2 linked regions of the Tamandua tetradactyla genome follow. The protein of the gene in region 1 interacts with the protein of each later gene in a pairwise test. Links are inferred from orthologs where the notes say so. Each region holds a gene or a part of one and is shown on either strand. Other genes may lie near its edges.

What was found.
Region 2: the proteins of FBF1 (region 1) and ACCS interact in a two-hybrid assay, tested with the Homo sapiens proteins (2 studies listed by BioGRID and IntAct). The two-hybrid records come from large-scale screens. The link is inferred for Tamandua tetradactyla from reciprocal best matches to the Homo sapiens genes FBF1 and ACCS.

What each region holds. Positions count from the first base shown.
Region 1 is NC_135332.1:16,320,212-16,324,120, reverse strand, and holds the start of FBF1 (fas-binding factor 1), read left to right. Parts: upstream 1-1,114; 5' UTR 1,115-1,243; coding exon 1,244-1,336; intron 1,337-2,104; exon of another isoform or gene 2,105-2,108; coding exon 2,109-2,144; exon of another isoform or gene 2,145-2,231; coding exon of another isoform or gene 2,232-2,234; intron 2,235-2,657; coding exon 2,658-2,685; intron 2,686-3,415; coding exon 3,416-3,457; intron 3,458-3,909. UniProt on the Homo sapiens protein: Keratin-binding protein required for epithelial cell polarization. Involved in apical junction complex (AJC) assembly via its interaction with PARD3. Required for ciliogenesis.
Region 2 is NC_135334.1:120,682,847-120,686,755, reverse strand, and holds the start of ACCS (1-aminocyclopropane-1-carboxylate synthase-like protein 1), read right to left. Parts: upstream 2,223-3,909; 5' UTR 2,088-2,222; intron 898-2,087; coding exon 607-897; intron 1-606. UniProt on the Homo sapiens protein: Does not catalyze the synthesis of 1-aminocyclopropane-1-carboxylate but is capable of catalyzing the deamination of L-vinylglycine.

The sequences.
Region 1 (3,909 bases):
CCCATGCGAAAAAAAATTTTGGACCAAAATAAAAAGTTGTTTGCTACACTACTGTTAATTGTTTCATAAATGGAGTATTTTTAGGTTGCAAATATGTGATCGTCCACATAATGCTCGGGCTTCTGACTTTTTTGGAAAAAGCGCCATCTTATTAACAACTGCTATGGATTCAGTGAGATGACTTGTATCATTTGGAGTGTATAAATACTTTGCAACCTTTTTTTCCTTTTACTGTTGCACTTTGAGTTTGGTTCCTACTTGAAACAAGATCTATTTAGCATGTATTGTTATCCAACCCAGGCTTGACATGTCACAGGGTGTGGGGTGGGGGTACGGGGCTAGCATGGGACCAGAGCATGTGAATCATGGTCAGGCAGTGATGACCTTCCAGCACCTCTTGACCCCTCGAGCCGGTAAGCCAACCACTAAGCTCCCTTTGTGAAACTGAATGACCCTTAATAAAAGTTGTAATTAGCACACTCAGGAAAAAGTGTATGTGTCTTTGTTGGTGGAGGGTTGTTGGGTTTCATTCTGGCTTCCCAGCTGTTTTTTGTTTGTTTGTTTGGTGATCATTCGGTTCTCCATATATAATCAGTAATTCACAATATCATCACATAGTTACACGTTCATCATCATGATCACTTCTTAGAACATTTGCGTCAATTCAGAAAAAGAAAAAGACCAGCTCTGGTTTTGTAATTGGACGACAAGATCATAGCCGCTTTGGGGTGTAGGATGGAACCGTTCGAAGTGAACGCATTTCTCGCAGTCCTCCTCAGACCTCGAAGAATGCTGGAGGAACTTCTTAAATGTTCTGTCTTTGAGCCCAGTCCCTGGAGGCCAAGAGAAACTTCGACCAGCCTTTGAGCCTGGTGTCACTCTTCACGACGTGGCGTGGACGTCGCTTCTCGCAACCTCCGGAGGTCCGGCGGCGCACTGGGAAGTGTAGTTCACCTCGGCGCCCCGCCCCCTGCCGCAGCGGCCAGTGGGCAGCAGACTACCACTCCCAGGATGCTCCGCGCCCCTTCCCGTCGGGCGAGTGGCGACGGCCGGGCCGGAGGTGGGGCTCGGAAGCGGGGCTCGGAAGCGGGGCTCGGAAGCGGGGCTCGGAAGCGGGGCTCGGAAGCGGGGCTCGGAAGCGGGGCTCGGAAGCGGGGCTCGGAAGCGGGGCTCGGAAGCGGGGCTCGAGAGGGGTCCGCGGCCATGGCTAGGAGAGACCTCAGGGGCTGCGCGTCCTAGAAGGATGGCGCGTAACCCCGGGGATTTCAGGGGCTGGGAGCATATAGGCTGCACTCGGTCGGGGGGACGCGGCGAGGGGCGCGGCCCGGGTCTGGAGGTGACTCCGGGGCGGGCCCTTGGTGGGGCGGGCTCGGGACTGGAAGAATGCCTGGCGTGGCGTGGCCCGCGTGGATGAGATAGCCGGTGTTGCCCCGCGGCCCTTTGGCCTTTGCAAACCGCTCTTAGGAAATTCCCGCGCTCTCCACGCTGGGGTAGAATCCTTGATTGGTTAGGAGATGGCGGGAGTTCCTTGAGGTGTTAGGAGACAGAACGCGTTTTGGACCTGCAGTTCGTGAAAATTGCCGTTACAGAGAATAAGAAGCACACTCAGATGGCCCCTGCAGTAACCCCTGGGAAACTCCGCGTCCTAATAGCAGGGCAGGCCAACGCCCGAGAACTAGAGATGGGCCTTTCAGACTCCTTTCCTCCAAGGCACGCCGAAAGTCGCTTTTAAATGAAGGAAAACTTCGCTATTAATGTGGTGTGTCAGATTTACACCTAGTGTGAAGGGAAACATTTCCACGGTCATAGAAAATCGTGTCAAGGAGTGACTAGAACTCACATCGTCTCCTCGTGCTGGGTGCTGCCAGAAAGTACAACTGAGTTTTGCCTGGAAGGGTCTGTTGGCCGTGGTGCCAGGCACCCACCTCCTTTCTGAAATGGGACCTACCATGCCCCAGATCCTCTAAGCTGCCACGCATATAAAGAATGCTTAATATATGGAAACAGATTTTGATTTCGAATGGGTGAAATGAGAGAAGACTTGATAGGCTTTGGACTCAAGTACTATTAAAGCTACTTTTTTTTTTTTTTTTTTTTGGCATAGGCAGGCACTGGAAATCGAACCCGGAACTCAGGCATGGCAGGCAAGAACTCTATCTGCTGAAATGGGGGGAATTCAAACGAACTGGACAGTGCGGTGAAGGAGCTGCCAGCAGCCCCAAAGCCCTGAGATGGTAGGGGAATACAATGAGGTGGATGGAAGTGTGAACCTGCATAGGGAGAAATCCTAATGCCATGGACTAGTTTGGGGGCTGGGTGAAGGGCCAGGATGTGGCCCCTGGAGGGGAGTGATGTGGGTTAACTTTGATGTCAAACTTCTTAGGCATATGCGAGGGTTTCCTCTGGGTCTCTGACTCTCTAGCTGGGAGGCAGGGCATGGAGGCAGATTGCTGTGGCCCTGTTCTGAATGAGTCCATTCGTGGAAATTCTAGGAAAGCATAAAAGACTTCTGTCTCTAAATGCCATTTGTGCCTCTTTCTCTGGTAACTTGGCAGAAGGCAAAACAATTCATTCTGCATTCCCAGCCATTTATTTCCTCAGTTTCAGCACTATTCACAGTTTGATTTTTTAATGTGATTTCTTTTACCCATTTTTAGGCAGCAAAAACCAAGAAAGGATTGAAAGGTAAGGGAAGAGAGAACACCACCCTTCAGCCATTATATATAACCCTTGCTCAGAAATAATTCAGACATGCTCGGGTCTGAACGTTGTTGATGAGACTCTTGCTATGTTTCCCATAATTCTTTAGGCAGCATGGGCTTCTTGAAGATAACTCCTTATGCTGCCTCGTTGGTCCTCAGAGTAATTCAGGAATAAATAAAGATGGGACTTTGGAAAAAATCCTTGGGGTCTGTATCCAGAAATATATGGTTAAGGTTAAGAGTGACAAAAAGCACTTAAGCTGGAAGCCAGAACTAATTCATTCAGCCTCTATCAGAAAGTGGCCAAGGAGGCATGCATTCAGCAGACCTGGGGGCTCTCGGATGGAAGGATCCAGAAGGCTTTTGATGTGAAAGGAGCCATTATGAGCCCTGAAAGTCTGGATACTTTCTCCACAGAACCATACTGGGCTCTGTTCAGAGTGTGGGGTGGGAATTTTGCCCAGGGTGTCGGGTGTGGCACACACCATGTAGGTTGCGCTGAAAATCTTTACTATCCTTTGAGAAAGTTACTTTCAGTTTCCACTCTGTGTTCCTTCAACAGTGCATTGTGACTTGTTGCCAGCGAGTTAGAAAACATCTTATGGCCTGTAGGAGGAATGCTAAGTCTGAGTCCCCTTATCTGAGAGTTCTGAGACCCTGGGATGAGGCTCTCGTTTCCTCCTGAATCCATGATGCTTCCTTTTCTGTTCCAGGCTCCATTGATGATGTCCTTGATGACCTCTTGGGGGAAGACAGTAAGTGCCCCCTTCCCCAGAATCCCCTGGTTTAGGCTTGCTTTTTTTTTTAATTGCGATATAATTCACATACCATAAAATTCACTCCTTTAAAGTGTACAAATCAGTGGTTGTTAATGTATTCACAGGGTTTTGGAACCATCACCACCAGAACATTTTCATTACTCCTAAAAGAAACTATATCATTAGCAGCCATTCCTCAATTTCCCTGCGTCCAGCCTTAGGCAAACACTCATTCATTTTATATGCTATTCATATAAAATGAAATCATACAATATGTGGTCTTTTGTGTCTGCCTTCTTTCACTTAGCAAAATGTTTTCAGGGTTCATCCAGGTGGGAGCGTGTATCAGTCCTCCATTCCTTTTTATGACGGACTGTTCCACTGTATGGACATACCCCAGATGTTACCCATTCATCAGCTGACAGGAATTTGAGTTGTTTCCACTTTTT
Region 2 (3,909 bases), on another chromosome or scaffold:
ATGCTCAACAAATAAATATTATTAAAGGTTATTTGTGACTGCTCTGGCCTCTGGAAGTATTATTAACAATAACTAATAATAATAATCAAAGTGGATAAGATTAATCATAAGGTACCTATCATTTATTGAGCATACTATGGGCCAAGTATTGTGCTATAACTTTATCTAGTTGATCTCATTTAATCTGGACTATTCCATGAAGCAGGTATCGTTAGTCCCATTTTACAAATGAACCAAGGTTCAAAGAGGTTAAGCAATTAGCTCAACAATACACAACCCAAAAGACAGAGTTGCAGCCTCAACTCTAGTTCTGTCCCAGCTCCAAACTTGCATAGTTACCTGGCCGTGGGTGAGACTCTATATAAGTCATTTGATGGTTCTCAAATCCCTCACTCACAAGTGAGGATCCCTTTAATTATAAACGGGCTATTTTCTGATCCAGGCAAAAAACTGGGGCTCTCTGAACTACATCAGAGGTCCTCTAGGAAGTCAGAAAGCCACAATGCCAACCTGACAGGAGCAAGCTGGGGTCTGCCCTACTGGCTGAGGGAAGGCACCCTGCCATGCACTCATCTCCTGGCTCCCTGTGTGGGGGTGTCTACTCACAGTGGGGTTCTTGACTTCGTCGTATTCATCCATATGGTAGGTCCGGTAGCCCTCCTCAGCAGAGTCCCAGAACCATTTAACGATTCTTCCTCGAGAGGACAAGTAGGGGCTGTCAGAGGAGAACACAGCGGGGAGCTCGCCCACTCCATACAGCTCCAAAGGCTTCTGGTCTGCTTTCCGGGAGCATTCTTCGTCCAGACCACTCCCGCAGCTACTGCCCACATCCTGTGTGGGAGCTGGACTGGGGCAGGTGGGAAGTCCCCTGGATTCCTTCTTAGGGTGGGTGAACATCTACAAAAAGAAGAAGCACTCACTGCAAAAGATTCAAGGCCTGACTGGGTGCTCCCCACAGCACCAAGCATCAAAATGAGTTGGAAGTCGCTGGACTGCCGCCTTCTCTATCTGTGACTTCCTTTAAGTACTCACGGCTCCCTGTGTTCCTTACTGGTTGTGACCATCTGTGCAGACAAACACTCAAAACAAATAAAATCTGCTAAAGACCTATTATGTGCCAGGGGACTGGCTTGCTATGTTTGCATGACTTTAAGTTACTACTGCTTTAGTTGGTTTCACTTTTGCACAAGTTTTTCATTCTGCAGTCTAGGGGTCACTGATGTTCTTTCCACCCCTGCTGACTTCTATTTCCAAAAGCCAGGTTAAAGGTCACTGACCGGGAGTGGGAGAGGCCTAGAGGCAGATGGCAATTAGGGTAAAGGGCAGGATGAAGTATCTGGTGTTCTGGAGCGGGGCGGGTGGGGCCTGGGGAGAGGGAGGAATGGGGTGGGGGGTGGGGCCCCTGGAAGGGCACCAGGCGGAGCCCCAGGGTGGGTACCAGGTGAGGTGGCCTACCGCCGGTAGACCTGAGCCCCTTGGCTTCTCTGAGTCTGTTCTGCATATACAGCTGTAACTACCCGCCTAGGGGAACTGTGAGGACAGAAATACAGACGTTAACATAGATAATGAGCTTAGAACAAATTCTGGCTCAGGGTCAAAGTTCAAAAATCAGCCTGTGCTATTATACCCACGCTCTTCGCGGGTTTGCCCGGCACCGCCCGACGCACAAGCCCGCGCACCCGGAACGCCGGCGCGGGAAGCCGGGAGAGGCGCGCGCGCACTTCCGCGACAGGGAGTCCTCTCCGGGTCACCCCGAATGGCTGGGCTCGCCGAGCGCTCGCCTCCGCCCCTACGGCCACGCCGGGTTTCGGGACGGCACAGCCCTCGCAGCGCGGCGCGGGCGGGACGGGGGGCGCGGGGGGCGCAGAGGCCGCGGCTGGGGCGCCCGTCCGGGCTTGGCGCCGAGCGGGAGCGGGGAGCGGGGGAAAGAGAACGAGCAGGGCGCGCCCCGCGAGGGGCCGCTGCCGCTTCCGGAAGAGGAGGCGAAGGGCTTGGAGACGGAGCGGCCGAGACCCCAAGGCAGCCCCGGGCCGGGCCCGAAGAGCGGCCCCGCCGGCCCGCTGCGCCCCAGGGTGGGGGCTCCGCACCTACTTGGTGGCCTCGGCGGAGCCGCACAGAAAGGTCCGCTTCGTTCGCTGCGCGGAGGCGGGGAGCCGGGGAGCCGGCCTCTCAGGGGCTCGTGGCCGAGGCCGAGGCGCCTTCCCGTGCCTGCGGAGGCCTGCGGGGCCTGGAGGAGGAGCCGGGGAAGGGGAAGGGGCCTGGAGGCCCGCGCTCCTGGAGAAGGGCCTGACGTGGCGCCCCTCCCGCTCCCGCCCCAGGGCGCAGGGGCTGCCCTGCCGGGTCTCTGGAACCTGAAGGGGCCAGGGCGGCCTGGCCGTGCCCCAGCCCGCACGTGGGGGTGCTTCCCTCTGCCTCCTGGCCTCAGCCCCCAATTTCCAGAGGCGGTGACAGCCAAAGAGGAGATTCTGCTAATGTCTGCCTGGCTGCTCCCCGTATGAAGCCTTTCCAGATGCAGGTGTAACGGATGAATTAGGATTTAAGGAATGCTTTTGATGACTGAATCATATTCCTTTTTGCTTTCAGGGATGTTGGAGTAGATAGAGGGGAATACGTGAAATCCCTAAACTATAATTCAGCTCTCCTGATACCTGAAGTGATTGTAAAAACCCTTACCTTGTGCCGTTGTGGCTGTAAGAGTTGTTACTCCTTTTAGGTGGACAAAGGCTCTAATGCTAATGAAGAATTTGAAGTCAGCCATTAAGTAGCTTCAGCCCCCAGCGTTTGTAAATTACATCAGCCAGCCTCTGCCATTGAAAAGTAACTCAGCTCCCAGCCTTTTGGCTTGCACCTTTAGTCCTGAAGTGATAGCTCTGCCTCCCCTCCTTTCAGCTCCTGTTCTCCTATTGAAATGATAATAACAGTCTCCCTTCCACTTCAACTTGCTATTCAAGTGACCTCATCCCCCCTTGCTAAAAATCCTTAAAAACCTTGAACCCCCTTTTTCTGTTTTGCAAGCTGCCAGAATGTGATATACCAGAAACAGAATAGCTTTTAAAAAGGGGAATTTATTAAGTTGCAAGTTTACAGTTCTAAAGCTATGAAAATGACATAACTAAAGCAAGGCTCTAGAAATGTCCAATTTAAGGTATCCAGGGAATAATACCTTGGTTCAAGAAGGCGGATGACATTCAGGGTCTCTCTCTCTCTCTCTCTGTTGGAAATGCACATGGGGAACACGGCCATGTGTGCTAGCTTTCTCCCCAGGCTCTTGTTTCACGCTGCAGGAGCGTTTTCCTTCTTCAACTCCAAAGGTCTCTGGCTGTGTGGGCTCTCATGGCTGGCTCCAAAATGTTTCTTCTTTTAAAGGATTCCTGTAAACTAATCAAGACCCACCTGGACTGGGTGAAGTCACATCTCCCTCTAATCAAAGGTTAATACCCACAATTGCAGGAGTCTCATCTTCTTGGAGATGATATAATCAAGTTTCCAATCTACGGTGCTGAACATTTGAGAGGATAGAATCCCAAGGAGGTTATTTTTATGATTTCTATGAATAGTCAAATGCCTAGACTTTGGAGTATACCTCTGAGTCCAGGACCCAAACCAACAAGTCAAAGAGATCAAAAACTGAAGTTGCAGAATAACTTACTGAGTCATAAGGCTTGTTTGACTGTTTCCTGTGACTGGGTTTGGACTTCCCCAGAAGTGTTTATCCAGGTTCCATGGGTAGTAGTGAAAACAGACTCAACCCATTGCTCAGCCAGCAAGCACTCAAACACAACACTTTGTCTAAAACACTTTTATCTTAAGAACCCAGTGATTTTTGTTGTGCAGCAATAGCTTTTGCAGCAGATTCGGCAATTTTTCCTACTGTTTCAGATAAGTGTCTGATCATGTTTCCATTGATGT